Linked DNA regions of Oryzias latipes. The protein of the gene in region 1 interacts with the protein of each later gene in a biochemical or structural test. Links are inferred from orthologs where the notes say so. Each region holds a gene or a part of one and is shown in the gene's direction. Other genes may lie near its edges.

What was found.
Region 2: the proteins of hdac5 (region 1) and zbtb16 form a complex in vitro, tested with the Homo sapiens proteins (2 studies listed by BioGRID). The link is inferred for Oryzias latipes from reciprocal best matches to the Homo sapiens genes HDAC5 and ZBTB16.
Region 3: of the proteins of hdac5 (region 1) and sik2, one has a biochemical effect on the other in vitro, tested with the Homo sapiens proteins (2 studies listed by BioGRID). The link is inferred for Oryzias latipes from reciprocal best matches to the Homo sapiens genes HDAC5 and SIK2.

What each region holds. Positions count from the first base shown.
Region 1 is NC_019866.2:23,906,084-23,911,229, forward strand, and holds the end of hdac5 (histone deacetylase 5), read left to right. Parts: intron 1-32; coding exon 33-151; intron 152-224; coding exon 225-358; intron 359-461; coding exon 462-543; intron 544-626; coding exon 627-801; intron 802-1,127; coding exon 1,128-1,167; 3' UTR 1,168-4,069; downstream 4,070-5,146. UniProt on the Homo sapiens protein: Responsible for the deacetylation of lysine residues on the N-terminal part of the core histones (H2A, H2B, H3 and H4).
Region 2 is NC_019872.2:25,466,346-25,471,491, reverse strand, and holds the start of zbtb16 (zinc finger and BTB domain-containing protein 16), read left to right. Parts: upstream 1-1,966; 5' UTR 1,967-2,373; coding exon 2,374-3,611; intron 3,612-5,146. UniProt on the Homo sapiens protein: Acts as a transcriptional repressor. Transcriptional repression may be mediated through recruitment of histone deacetylases to target promoters. May play a role in myeloid maturation and in the development and/or maintenance of other differentiated tissues.
Region 3 is NC_019871.2:15,490,807-15,495,852, reverse strand, and holds part of sik2 (serine/threonine-protein kinase SIK2), read left to right. Parts: intron 1-2,998; coding exon 2,999-3,225; intron 3,226-4,996; coding exon 4,997-5,046. UniProt on the Homo sapiens protein: Serine/threonine-protein kinase that plays a role in many biological processes such as fatty acid oxidation, autophagy, immune response or glucose metabolism.

The sequences.
Region 1 (5,146 bases):
GTTTTTGAGTCTGTCTCATTCTGGCTCTGCAGGAGTGTGGTGATGCCCATCGCTCAGCGGTTCAGTCCTGATGTGGTTCTGGTGTCTGCGGGCTTTGATGCAGTGGAGGGCCATCAGTCTCCTCTGGGGGGCTACAACGTCTCTGCCAAATGTGAGTGTGGAGCCTCTGCGGCGCCTCGGCGTCCGCTTTGGAGCGTCTTCCTGACTTTGTCCGGTGGTCACAGGTTTCGGACAGCTCACCCAGCTGCTGATGGGTCTGGCGGGTGGGCGGGTGGTCATGGCTCTGGAGGGGGGCCACGACCTGACTGCCATCTGTGACGCGTCGGAGGCCTGCGTGTCTGCACTGCTGGGAGACCTGGTAAGAACTCCTGCAGCGTGCAGGTCTCCTTTAACCGTCAGTCCGTCTCTGATCATCAGGGACAAAAGATGAAACCATGACACGCTCTTCCTGTCTGTTCCAGTGTGACTCCACCTTTCAGTGGCCGCTGGACAATCCCTGTCCTAAAGCTTGTGCCTCCTTGGAGCGGGTCATCGAGATCCAGAGTAAATGGCATGCACTAACATTCCTGATACTTGTTGTGGTGCTGCCCTCTGGCTCACCGTCCTCCTGTCTCTCTGTCTGTCAGGTAAACACTGGTCCTGTCTTCAGCCTTTGTCCCAGACCAGCGGGCGCTCGCAGCCTGACGGAGGTCAGGGGACGCAGTCGGAGAAGGACGAGGCGGAAACGGTCAGTGCCATGGCGTCGCTGAGCGTGGACGTGGAGCAGCCTGTTTCTGTTCCTGAGAGCACGGACAGCAGCAGGTGAGCACAGGCCAATGCTAGTGCTGGAACTATCCGTCCCACCTTGTGAGATTTTCCTACCTGTTGAGCAAAATGATGGCTAACTAAATGTCCTGCCTTCAGTATATGAACATTTTGATGTTGGGTAGGAAAGATTCACCATGGGAGTAAGACAGATTCACTTCATGCATAAGAAGCGGAGTAAACTAGTAAAGTAAAACTCTTTTAGTGGCAGAATGTAGAACAGTACCCTACAAATGCATACTGTTTATCCCTGTTTTCACAAGCCATAAAGCGGGATAAAGGTCCTGGAAAAACTCAAAACAAGTGTGTGTGTGTGTGCACAGGTCCACAGAGGAGCCCATGGAGGAGGAGCCTATCTTGTAGGAGGAGACTGACATTTAGGGAGGAGCCTGCCTTGCAGAAGGAGCTCCAACCAGAAGAACATCAGTCGTCTTTTCCTCCTTGGAGCAACTCTATCCACTCTTGTTCCTCTTCCTCCACCTCACGTGCGTGCACGTGCACACACAGTGGAGTTGTTGTTGTTGTGGGGGACTCTGATTGGCTGAGGCTAAGTTGGGTTCTGAGAGGAGTTTGGACTTGTTCCGCTTTGACTCCTCCTCCCAGTAAAGTGCAGACGACTTGCTAGCATCTCCATGGAAACGGAGGGGTGCCCCCATGGTACTCATGTTTGCTTCACCACCAGATGCTCATTTGCTCCCTCCAACCGTTCCTATTCCATTTCAGCCCACTGAGGGGGGACGCGTGAGCTCTGAACGTCCAGCAGGAGGCTGACGCCTGGTCGCCTTGAGTCTGGCAGAAGCTGCGGTAGGAGGTCATGTGGGGGAGCAGGTGCCTTTCTTCTGTCCAATAGGAAGCCACAAAAGGCAGTAGGATATGTGGAGACACCGCTGCAGCCGGACAGATGGATTCTGACTGAACTTTTCTGCCAACCCCCCACCTCCACCCCCTCCCTGCCTCAGGGTTGGGTCAGGCTGATTTGGGCCGCCACCCGCACCTTTCTTCTGGCTGACAGCGGCAGAACTTTTTATCTCGTGACGTGTTTGTTATCTCACAAGCATCATCAATTTTCTACACCTGTACATACGTGAGTGCACTCGTACTGGAACTTTTGAACAGATTCGGCGAGGCCGGCCTGCGTCCGTTGGCAGGTTCCTCTGGCGTGACGGGAACCACGCTGCCCCCATCAGGCAGAGAGCGGCAGCTGCAGCTCAGTACCTGTGGACCGGGAATGCTGACCTGCAGACGTTGGCTTTGTTTTTGCTTAAAAAAAAAAGCATCAATGTGCCAAATCATGATACTCCCTCCGTTTTGCTCGAATGGTGCACAGGAAGTGTTTTAGCCATCTTGGCCTCTACTTCAAGCCCACAAACTCTGGCTTTCGCCCTGTATTGTTCTTCAACACTGATTGTTTTGGCGAGGGCTGAGACCCCCGCAACCACAGAGAAACATTTACTTCAGTTTACTTAAGAGAACGGAAAATCCTTTAAAAAAGATCAAACTTAAGGTCAGATTATTAAGTGATGCTACTTTACATAAACTGAAATATTTTGGGTTTTTTTTGGCGGGGGCTTATTGCTCCAGTGCCTTCTACAGTCATCCCATGTATGAAGTTCCTTAAGGAGAGCCGTGGACCACGCCTCCCCCCACGCCACAGTTCTGCCGTTACACCACTGAGCCGATCCGGTTGCTCCATGGGACGCCCACAGAACTGAATCACACAGTCCCAGACCGTCAGTCACAAACACTACAGCACCATGACAAGCTGCCTCTGGTCGGCACCCCCACCCACCTCCATCAACATTGCTGACGTCATGCATTTACGCTAGTCCACCTTTAGCAGAACCGGGTTAGGGTTAGGGTTCTTATCATTCCAAACTCAAACCAAGTTTTGTTTTGTTATTGCTAGGAGGCCTGGAAACCTTTAGGTTGTGGTATAGGCAGCCTATAGCTCCATCTGGTGGCCACTACAGACAGCTGCGCTTTGAAAAATAATTGAGGGACAAGTTGTAATACATAAATTAAAAAAAGACGTACACTTTTTTTCATTAAAATACATAAAAAATGAGGAAAAAAGAAGAAAAAAGCATTTTGGTGTTGAAATACAAAACCTGTAAAGGCTAAAAAAGAATTAATGTGAAGAAAACAAATCTATTTATTAACCTTTTAGTTTTAAAATGTGTATGTCTTTTAATTTATGGCTTTGTTAAGTTTCTCTACGTACTTGTTACTGTGTGTTTCTGGCCGTTGTGGTCATGAGACATCCCAGCGTGCTTCTGTATGAGTTGATTTTTCAGTACCTGAAAATTCAGCCTCAAAGGGGGGGAGCTTGTCGCAGGAAGGTGGTCCAAAGCGCTGCACATGTCATTCTGTGGGCGCCATCGCCATCTCGTTTCATCACGACGATGGAGAAAAGGCTGGGTTTGGTTTCTGTTTGGAAGGGAAAACTCTCAGATAACAGATGCGTTTATGGTGTTTCTCTGCAGCCAATCTGTGGCCTGGAGTCTACCAATGCTGATAAAAAAAAAACCAAGCACACACATGTAAATGCCATAGATCAGCAGGCCAGCGAGGCTCATGGGAAACCAAAGAGCGATGGTTGACGGGGAAGCAGCAGCTGTGGTTTGGTGCCTTTAGTTTTACCAATCCCATGAAACCTGAAAGATTTGAAGAGCTGGTGCTGTCAGCAAAAACTCTGCTGTGGGGGAGCGCAGTAAGCAGGGGGGTGTTGTCCAGAGGCCGCAGAACTAGGCACACTGAGACGCACATCGTTCTGCTACATTTGGGCTTTTCATGTGATGTCTGGGGGAGGGGGGGGGGCTTTGTTTGGACTTTTTTATTTGCTTTCCTTAAAGGAGGGGGTCTCTGTTACTGTTGTTTAACTCTTGACTAAAGTTTCTGTTTGTGTTGAAATGATCACATTCCACCCCCCCCCCCCCCCCCTCAGTGTTTGTTGCCACTATGGTCTCACTCAGTCACACGTAAAAAATATTACCATTCACGTGTGTGTGTACACGCTCGATGACGCAATCTTTGTTGGGGGGGGGGGGTACCATTGCCGCTGGTTGTCGTGTCGTTCCTGCTGACGGAGATGAAAAGGGATCGTCCCCCCTCCCCTCCCCTCCCGCCGTGGACATTTTCTCTAAGCCTCTTTTTATTACTCTCACTGTAATGTTGTGATGTTGGTTCTGATTCTCCGTTTCCTTTATTTTATTTTTTTTAGTGGGCTTCTTGTTACCTTCGTCAATAAAGCAGTTCCCACAGTGTTTGCAGTGCTGCAGTGTTCTGACCCACACGCTGCACGGTCCAGGGTCCACTCACACCAGGGACATGCACTTTCTGCCTCAAAGTCCGGGTGTTCACTAATAATTACCCCTGTCAACAAACACCTTTGTACGGTGGCCCTGAAGGGCAAATGACACCAACTGTCACTCCATGCAATTTTGTCCAACCGGCGATGTCTCACAGTACCTCCCCTTTTCTTTATGGTTTCATTTTTTAACGTTTCATTATGATTTCTGGAAATCAGAAACGTTTTTTGGGCGGAATTTTGTTTGCATTTCCAAAACGATTTTGTTCATTAATTTCCTTTTTTCATTGTCATGATCTTTATTGTTTTATGTTGAGTGATTTGCACTTTAGGGCCACCGTACCTTTTCCCCCCCCAAATATTTTATTTCAAACAAAGAACCCCCTGTCCATTTCCCAGTATTGTAATGTCACAATAGCATTTCTGTTCATTGTTTTTTTTATTCTGTTGTGATCTTTCATATACTTTTCAATAAAAAAAGAGCAAATCCATCCATTTTCTTGCACAGGGAGAACATGCAACCCCCACCCAGAAAGGTCCCGCCTGGGATTTGAACCAGAGCCTTCTTTTCTGGGGGCAAACATGCAAACCACTGTCACCATGCAGCCCCAAAACAAATGTCTAGAAAAAAAAGTGATTCAGAAAAAAGAGACAAAATAAAAGGGAAACATTTCGAAAAACAAAGTAATTTCCAGAAATCAGAATGAAACACTAAAAAATGAGGCAGAAGAAGAAAGTGGGAGGTACTACTGTGTGGGACGGCACTGATGTTTGTTCCCCTTTTCACCCGATAGTCATTTGGCACGAGGTGCCCTAAATCAAAAACATGGAAGTTACTCGTCAGGAGCGGAGAGAGCTTGTTGGAAGTCCACACCCCTTTGAAAGCGAGCTACAAGAACACAGTCGATCAAGCATTTCGAACCACTTACTTTTAATAAGGCATCTGATTGGACGGTTTGTAACTTGAAGAAACAAAAAAATGAGGACAATCAGGTTTATGTTGGAAAAAGATATCAGATCCAGAACGGTTCTTCT
Region 2 (5,146 bases), on another chromosome or scaffold:
CAGCAGTGGAGTATTTAACCCCGGCTTAAACAAACTCTGCCAGCGCGTCGATGCCACATCCCGGCTGCTGTCTGTCTGTCTCTGGTGCACTTTTGCTGCGCGCAGACACGGTTCCATTTCTGCTCTCCCCCCTGCGTTTGCTGTCTGTCACCGCGGCTCACCGTCTGGGATATTGAGCGGCGTTTATTCCTGTTGTGGCTGGCTCGTCAAGGTGCGCAACGGCAGACAACTCGTGACCAGATTGATTAAGGTCTCTTTTTCTCAAGTCGGCCTTTCCAGGGAAAGAACCTCCGGCAGCTTCATGTGCTTAACGCTGTGTTTTGTTTCTATGCGTAATGCACAACCTTTTGTGTATCATTTGTCTGGTGGAGAGAGGGCTGTCTAGACGCGCGCGCAGCTCCCTTCTCCAAATCCAAACTTTCAGCCGCGGAGCGCAGCGAGCATTGATCCCCGACGGGCTCGTAAATCGCAGCTATTGGCAAACATGTAATAAAGATCATTCAGGGCTGGAGGCATGATCTCTGATGCCGGTCAGGAACGCAGCTGTGGCCCCTCCGTATTCGCCTTGTGTTCCGAACAATATTTTGCCCGTCATTCTCACAGCTCAAACGAAACATCATGTAGCTGTTTATTTTTCCTTTTTTTTCTCACCAGTCCTTTTATGGTTGCACATATTGACCCCTCAATTCTCAATCAAACCTGTAGATTAGATTTCAAGAGGTCTATGAGGCGTCTTGGCGTGAATTATTATTAATATTATAAATATGAAACTTTCCTGTGGAAGTTTGGGAGAATGTTCTTCATATTAATGAGCAGATCAAGAGGAAAAAGCCAAATGAGCTGCCAAATCTTGTAATTGGTCATAGAACTGGATAAATGAGGCCATCAATGGGCTCAGGCAGAATGTGGGTCAGTGGATGGATTTAACTCTTTCTACTCTGTGCCCTCTTTTTTTATTTCCATAAAATAAATGAAATAAATCTGTGTTTTGTTGGTCATCTTAGGTGCATGCTGGTGACCGGATCTTAATTTAACCAGGCTTTCATTATGGGTCAAACAGGTTTCAGGAATGAGGTGGAGCAACATGTTGCCCTGTTAGCTTGAATTATAAAATGTACCCACAGACACCCATTCATTCAGGATTTTCAACATTTGCAAGCACAGGCGCTCTCTGGGGCCGTGTTGTGGGTTTTTGCCTCATCTTGCTGTCTTTTTCGCCCATTTTTTGGCCACTGCTCTCCTGCTCCTGTCTGTGATGAGAATACTGAGTAAGATGCTATTTGAGGCTGCTGACGGTCTTTGTGAACCCAGACGCAGTGAGAGCCTACAATTCAGCCTTGTTTAACTGGTGTATATCCCCATCAGATAAGCAAATGAAGACATCTCTTTAACATAACATATGCTGGACCTATTGGTATGCAGGATGAGCCTGTTGGACAGCTAACAAATTGTCTCTCTTCAGAAAATCCAATCAGTGCCGTCTGCTAATATAAGAACGCCACTAAGTATTCTTCCCCATTCATGTGTTTGTAATTGAAGCCTGCAGAAGTCTGATATTAAACACTTTTTTAGAAGAAATGTTCCTCTTTAAAGACGCACTCTGATGAAAATTGTGTTTTTCTTGTCATATTTTTCTGATGATGGACATGTATAAAGAAAATTAAGCTCAAAATTGCATTTCTTAGTATTTATTTATCCAAATTGTTGTGAATCTGGAGCAGACAATAAATGCAGTTTGAAAAAGAGCTTACCGGTATTTGTTATATAGAAAATACGCCGAGCCACAAGCTCCCTGTTCCGCTCCACTCTGATGCATCCACTTGCAGATGCATCCACTAGATGTACGTCTAGCTCCGAGCTGGCACCGGGCTCAAAAGTGTACAGCCATGTAGCTCCTATGTTAATCAGTGTATTTGTTGCTCAGGTAATGGTAGGTTGGGGTTTTGAGGGGTAGTAAGCTAGCGGGAGAGCATGTTGTGACACAGATGAGTGACAGGAAGTGGGGGTTGGGTTGCTCCATGCCAAAATTTCTAATGAAGAGGTGAATTTCTAATAAAATACAGCCGCTTTGCAGAAACTGTCCTAGACAACAACATAAATCAAATCAAACCATTTTTTTATATAGCACTTTTTAAATATAACACAACACAAAGTGCTTCACACAATTTTTTTATACATATATAAAAACAAGCAGAATATTGAAATAAAGGACAATATACATTTTTGGAATTGTAAATAAAAAAATGTTTCCACCGTTGACATTTCTCTTTTTTTTTCCATCCAGGTTTGACTTTGTTTACAAAAACAGCTAAAATCTCTGCTGAGCGGGGAAAGCGAGCCTCATGAGTCGGCCTGGCAGGTTACATCAATATCATGGATTTAACTAAAATGGGTATGATCCAGCTCCAGAACCCCAACCATCCCACTGCCCTGCTGCAGAAGGCCAACCAGATGCGTTTGGCTGGGACTCTGTGCGATGTGGTCATCATGGTCGACAGCCAGGAGTTTCACGCTCACCGGACTGTGCTTGCCTGCACCAGCAAAATGTTTGAGATCCTCTTCCACCGCAGCAGCCAGCATTATACCCTGGACTTTCTTTCACCAAAGACTTTTCAGCAGATTTTGGAGTATGCTTACACTGCCACTCTTCAAGCCAAGGTGGAGGACTTGGATGACCTTCTGTATGCAGCCGAGATCCTGGAGATTGAATACTTGGAGGAGCAATGCCTCAAGATCCTGGAAACCATCCAGTCCTCAGATGAGAATGATGTGGATGTCAACGCTAATGATGGGAGCACAGAAGACGATGAGGAGCGCAAAGGCCAAAATGGAGCGAAGAACTCCAAAAAGCATTCCCTGGAGACTCCCAACCTGTCAGGAGCTCAGCAAGCCTCCAACATGCCTGGCATGGTTGACCAGAGTCCCTCTGTCTCCACCTCCTACAGTGTTTCCAACCTGAGTCCCACCAAAGCCGCTGTGGACAGTCTGATGAGCATCGGCCAGTCTCTGCTCCAGCAGGGCTTTGGTGGTGAGCAACCCGTCCACATTAATTCCCACCACCTGATGACCGACATCAAGACTGAGATGATGCAGGTGGACATGAGTGGCAATGGACATGACAGTCCTCAGAATATGGAGTCCAGCGTCTCGAGCAACGGAGAGCGAAGCGGAGAGGACAGGAACCGAGATGGTCCCGGAACGCCAACGAGGAGCAGCGTGATCACCAGCGCTCGAGAACTGCATTATATCCGTGATGACAACATGGGCGACCAGCAAGCCGAAGTCAGCCAGATGGGGCTGGAAGCAATGGCAGGAATGACTGAGAAACACCTGGCCTCACTATATTCGCTTCCTGTCAATCATAAATCCGATGCCATGATGTCCATGCCGGTGTCCATGGCTTCTGGTCTCCCCATGTCCCCTGCCCTGGCGATGTCCATGGACTTCAGTGCGTATGGGGGGCTGCTGCCGCAAAGCTTCATCCAGAGAGAGTTCTTCAGCAAGCTCGGGGAGCTGGCAGTGGGGATGAAACCGGACGGCAGGAACCAGCATGAACGTTGTAATGTTTGCGGCGCAGAGCTACCAGATAATGAAGCCGTGGAGCAGCACAGGTAAGCTTCCTTCCCTCTCCAGTCTGTCTCCTTTGTCTTTGAGTTTATCCCATTTCAAAACTCATATAGGTGCATCTTCTGCATTTTGATTTTAAAATTACACACTTTTACATAATTGACGATTTCAATGGTTTTATAAACATATTGTCACTTTTTAGGCTTAAACTATTTAAAATGGGTGAAGCGGTTTTCTTTTGTTCTACTTGATCGACTTTAACAACAATTGACCCAATCCTTTTATGTTTCTGTTTTATTGCACTTGCATGAGTTCCATTTACAGTCACATAAAGCCCAGTTTTGTGCAGTCGCCAGCTCAGAACCGGAGATTTACTCCTTTAGTAGCTGCCAAGCTTGCCCAGGTGACTGCTGAAGCAATGCTGTCTTAACATTGTCCAAGACCATTAGTCACACCTTCCAAGATGTGGGCGGCAGCTATCACACACACTTACCAATGTGGAGCTCCCTCATCCAGGACCCTGCTCCCCTCCCTTTTCCCATAACTGCACAAGGGGGGCCCTTATTAGCTTGATAATTGGAGTAGACGGTCAGCTCAGGAAATGAGTGCTGAACCCGAGACAAGGAGGTAGTTCTAGGACAGGAGAGTGGCAGCTGCGCAGCACTGTTTCAGTCGCTGCATATAAATAAAGCTTTAAGGCTGAGTAATTTTACAACACATTCAGAAAACCTCCTATTGATCACAGAGCAGCAGTAGTCTCCTACCTTTTTTTACTTTTTCAGACTACGGACCGCTTTATTGTCAGACAATATTTTCACGGACGTATAAGGCCAAAGTGGCCATCCGTTTATTTTATTTGTGTGGGTAAAGTTTATCTTTACCCTCTGTAAAATGTCTGCAGCTGCTTTAAACTTTGTTTGTAAACTAGATTTTATGAAGGAACCATCCACATGTGATTTAGATTTACCTTTAACCCATAACTGTCAAAGTGGAAGCTAAGAATGGAAGCTAACTTCAGCTTTGTCTGACTTTTAAGGTGCAATGAATTTAAAAAACAAAAAGGGAAAGCGGTCACAAAAACTGGTATTATCTAAATACCATAATTATATATTATATATTAATATAATTAATGTGAATACACCATTAAAACAACTTTATTTGCAGCATCCTCAGAAGATTAGACAGCCAGTTAATGAATATTCTGCATTATTATCATGGTCTGTGGGAACAACTGTCACAATGAATCCATATTTGGAGTAAAGACTCCTGGTTTTTGTTTGTTAAATGTAGATTTCTTTTATTTTGAAGTTGAAGGCTCTTCTTCTCGTTTCCTCACTGACTCTTTTCTGTGAGAAGAAACTTTTCAGAAACGTTTGTTTTTTGTCGAATTTGGATGGATTTTAAACACCTGATCGAGCGACTTGACATGCGTCAAGAATGAGTCGGATGTGGTGGAGAGAATCCAGTAGTTTTCCAAAATAAAACTTCCCTCAGAATCAGATTTTAAATAAAACTGAAAAAATATAAGTTGTGTTTTTAAATTTTACCAGCTGTCCCACAGACCTGTATCAGTAGTGGT
Region 3 (5,046 bases), on another chromosome or scaffold:
TGTAACCGCGGCTACTGACTGCTAACATTTGCAGGGGTCATGTGTTACATGCAGGAGTGAGTCAGGTCATATGACTGTCTCAAAGCAGCCCCGCTGTTAGCAATTGTGCTAGCTTGCAGGCTGGAGATTAAATCCAGAGCACGAGCTGTTTATGTAATCTGGGGGACAAGGCAGCAAAGCCCTCCTGCAGGCTCTTCCAGGAGACCCTCTGTATGTCTCGTTGACTCCCACTGTCTATGAAATGTCTTCCTGTTTGTCTATTTGCTCCTCATGATCGAAGTCTCCGTAAGGGGGAGTGCTGGAATTCATGTCATTTCTTCTTCTTTTGTTCCGAGCCTTGAAACAATTAGGAGACGGGGAATGTGAGAGTGTAATGTCAGTTCTTGGCCTAGACTGACAATCCAACCCGCCTTTCCACCCTCACTCCTGCCCCTGTTCCCCCCCCCAAATGTGAAGAACAGAGTGTTCTCATTTCTTCTACTAGAAACAGACCTCATTTCCTCCCATTGCTCTCTCTGGTCAACTCTGTGGTGCAGGGAACAGACTAGCACCTCACTCTAAACTCTCACTAGAACATTTTAGTCCAGTGAATGCTGTGGTCAGGCACTGATCAATGACCTTTTCAGTTTTTTGCATACCTTTGCATGTCTCTTCTTTATTCAAAGCTTCATAGGGACTCAGGTTGTCTATGCATTCAGTCATGTTTTAATGGTTGCATTTGAAAACTTTATTTTTAAGCTTTGGTGTGATTTATATACACTGAGATGCATATATGCAATCATAAAAAGTACTTTTCTCTAGTATGTCTTTGGACAAAAAAAAACCTTTGACCCATTGCATCTCACTTGAGAAGATTGCACAAATGTTTTTATTTATTTATTTTTTATTGTTTTTATTAGTAAAATAAAAATGAAGCAGATAGATTAGATTTTATTGCTGCAAATAACCAGCCCTTCATTGGTGCATCATCAGCAAATGTACTGTGAAAGTTGGTTGGTCTGGAAGAGTAAAAACTGATTTTTCCTGCCATGAAACATTTATGTTTAGTTATGTTTGTATTATTTCTTGACAAATATGTACAGCTAAAGAAAAATAAAACGCATATTAATTCTATAAACACCAGCTGCTTAAAAACAAATCAATTCAGTTTATTTTATTCAGCCATGACATTAATTTCCTTAAACCCTCGTTTATCATTTTCCAATTCCTAAAATAGGTTTAACTATGCAGTAAAATTTACAATATCATTACTTCTTGATTAGTCAGTACTGCAGGATTCTAAAAGTTAGTGCTGTCATGCTGGTGTAATGTTCCAGCTAAAAGCAGCGTGTCTGTCAGTCAGTCACACTTGCGTAGCGTGAACCAATGACTTGGTTCAAACGTTTTTTTATGATCAGTAAAAGTTCAACTATAAATCATGCATTATTCTCTACAGTCATTGGGTTGTCACGCTAACGTGGTGTTTCGGTCACATGGGGCTCTCCAGCCAAACCGGTTTTATAAATGGGCACCTGCTCACAGGCAGTGAAGGAGGAAAGGAAAGCTCGGGCCGCTTATACTAACGCACCTTTATTTACTGTACTACTACATATGCTCAAGTTCACATGCTACTTCACCCGTATGTGAGATAAGGAAGGCGGCACATCTGTTCACATGTTTAAGGATGGAATTTATCTGAAAAAAATTAAATGGATTTGAACCCGTCCTCAGTCTCACAGTGGTGCATCAGTCGTGGCGAGGGCAACTCAGTCTTCTAAAATCCTTTGCTTGAAGCAGAGCCTCAACACTGTTCATCAATTGGTATACAGTTAAATACAGGTAACAATGCTCCTGCAGACAGGCCTTGGCGTGCAGAAAGAATGCGATGAAGGGCACACGGGTTAACCACATAATTGGGGAAAAGACTGAGCTGGCTGAACTACAAAGCATGAGTTGGGAATCAAACCGTGATGCAAGCAGATGTTAGTAGATTTGGGTTGGGGGGGCGGGGGGGTGCTGAGAAGCAGCAGGGAGTTAATGTTGGCAGACAGGTCTTGGAGCTCTCAGGAGAACAAGGCAAGTAGGTTACCAGCAGCATGAAGTGAACTCCTCTTGCCTGCCTCCTTTTGTAACAACTTCACTTTACTAATTTAATTGGGTTTGTTATGCTGTAGGTTAAACTCCTGTAACTCAAAAAAAGAGAAAATGCAATCTATTTTTAAACTGACTTCAAGAAGCTTAAGTGCAACCTTTTTGATTATATGAGACTACCCATTAGAAGAAGAGGTTATTTTAAATTGAATTGGCATTTGAAATAATTAGAGATGTCAACTAATGGCTTGGGCTATTTCTTGAATAGATACCTTTTTTACTTCAAGACAATAGCACTTTTAAGAAAACGGTGAGGATGTTGCAGGCAGGGAATGCAGTGCAAGCAGCAGGAGGGCATCCAGGCCTGAGTAACACAGCCAAGGGAACTGTAATCCTGTTTAGAACCCAGCTGTGTCTGACGTCAAACTCATCTAGCCCCTAACTAGAGGTGAAGAGTTCTCATGGGGAGGGATGGAAAGTGGAAAAGAATGTATGCATGCTGTGTGGAAGTAGCTGCAGGGAAAACCCAAATGAGCTGCTGCCTTCACGTTCTTTACAGGCCTTGTCAGACATGCATCGAGTTAAACAGAACATATGTTTAAGCTAATTGAGCAATTAGTTTTATTGCAAACCTGTACAACAGAACGTGTGTGTTTACCAGCTTATGGAAAGGGTTTGAGGCAAACCTTTCTCCATCGTGATGAGCTGCACAGCCACATGAATTCTGAAAAGAGAGTTTGTCCTCGCTGGTCAAAATGCAGCTGGAAATTGTCAGGAAAAGCTGAAGATGTGAAACCAACAAAGTTGAAGTAACACTTATGCTTCAATTAATCTTTTAGAACATTTCCTTTTTTTAATGCATTTGTTGACCAGAAACTTCTTAAAAATAATTGCACCCTCTGTATTTGCTCCTTTCTCATTCTGGCAGACTGTGAACACTTGATCCGCAGGATGTTGGTCCTGGACCCGTCCAAACGCCTGTCCTTGGCACAGATTAAGGAGCACAAATGGATGGCTTTGGACGTCCCAGCACAGAGGCCCGTCCTGTACCAACAGCCACTGTCAGCTGAGGGTGAGATGGGTGTAGGAGAATACAGCGAACAGGTCCTTCGCCTGATGCACAGCCTTGGCATCGACCAACAAAAGACTATAGAGGTAAGCTTTCAAAAGGAAACCGCTATAACTGCAAGAACTAGTTGGCGACTTAACCATCAAAGCACTTGACTCCAAAGGGCAATGGTTGTAAATTGCAAGTCACTTACTTTTTGATACTGATGCATGATCATATTTACAAAGCAGTTAGGTTAATGGGTGTTATCTTAAGTGTGCCAACATTCCAAAACCAGTTTCACTTAAGCTATATAGTTCATCTCTATAGCTGAATACTTCAATTAAATGAAGTGTCTGCACTTCCATTGGGATAAACCAAAAATCTTAGAGACATAGTTGACAGCTACCACTTTCTTATATTTAATTTCTTTTCCAGTGATAACGGTTGTTAGTAGATTAATAATACAACACAAATTAGGTTTACAGTTACACAGACCTGATGGCTGCAATTTGTCCTGAAGATTTGGTCTTCCAGCTTAAGTTTGTCTTCAAGTCTTCAATTTAAAAAATGAGGACAAATCGACACAATGTGGAGTTACTCTGAAAATGTTTTTGTTTTCAGATAGTCTTTTAAAAAAACTGAAGAAAATGAAGTATTTTCTCAGACGGTGTAACTTTCAGAAAACAATCCCCTTGAGTAATTTCTTCTGTGATTCTAGAATCTGGTAAATTACAGTGAGATTTTTCACACACTGTCTGCATTTTGACTTTGTTTAATAAACAGTTATATTTTAGGAAATTACTTGGCGAGAATGTTACCATTTCACAACAGCACAACGTGTTTCCAAAGAGCAATTAGAGGTTGAAGTAAACATCAGTCTGCCATTTAATCTCATTTCACTTAGTTTTCACATGCTCACAAGAATTGCAATGCATGACTGATGAATGATTTCATGGCAGTATCTGTCCGTTTTGCTTCATATTTCAAAGCAAATTGAGGAGATGAAGGATCTTTGGATTGAGAATATTGAATTATAGTTTACTGGCTGTTCATGGAATCATTTGACATCTGGTTGAAAAAGGTGCCTGTTCAGTAAAAGCCAAAGGAGGCCTTTATCCAATAGAAAAATCAACAGTTTTGTTTATTCTTCAGCTCATTCTTTCATTCCTCTGACTCTTGGCTGGGTCGAGGGGGCATTTGGAGGGCGTCATTATTGTATTTAAAGAAGCTTTAAGTGTATGCAAAGTTTACATCAATGTACAATCTGCCTGCAACCCAGGAGAAGAGAAGTGTGAAATCAAACTACCATCAGTTCTGGAGCAAAATTCAGTTTTTATGCAAATGAAAGTTAAAAGAAATGGGTCAAACTTCACAGCAAATGTCTGGCCACTGTGGGGGAGACGATGCACAAGATCCAGAGAAATGTATGAATCCGCTGTCACCGAAAATCAACTTTTAAAGGAAAAAAAAAGTTGTTGTTCTGAACGTATTTCCTGCCACTGCTGCCTTTACTCAGAACTTGGCTACAGGTAAAAAAACCAAAGCAGGAAAAACTGAAGACTATCTTGTCACAGTTCAGTTCATATCAGTTTCAGTTGGGCTGTTGTGTAGCACAGATTGACTCTGATAGGAAAACAAACTGGGTTATACCCATCAAATCTGCCCTGCTCCTTCAAACTCAGCAGGGAGGAACTTAAAAAGCGTCTTAGTTTTGGGACTTTGATTAAACTCTCTCCATCCTCTGCAGTACCCTTAGTTTTATGCCAGCTTAGTTGAAAACAAATCTGCCAAATTTCAGCTTTTCACAGAAGCAAAAGATCAACTTTACCAATAATGCTTGTTACAAAATGATTCATTTACGCTGCTATGTTTCAGTCTCTTCAGAATAAAAGCTACAACCACTTCGCTGCGATCTACTACCTGCT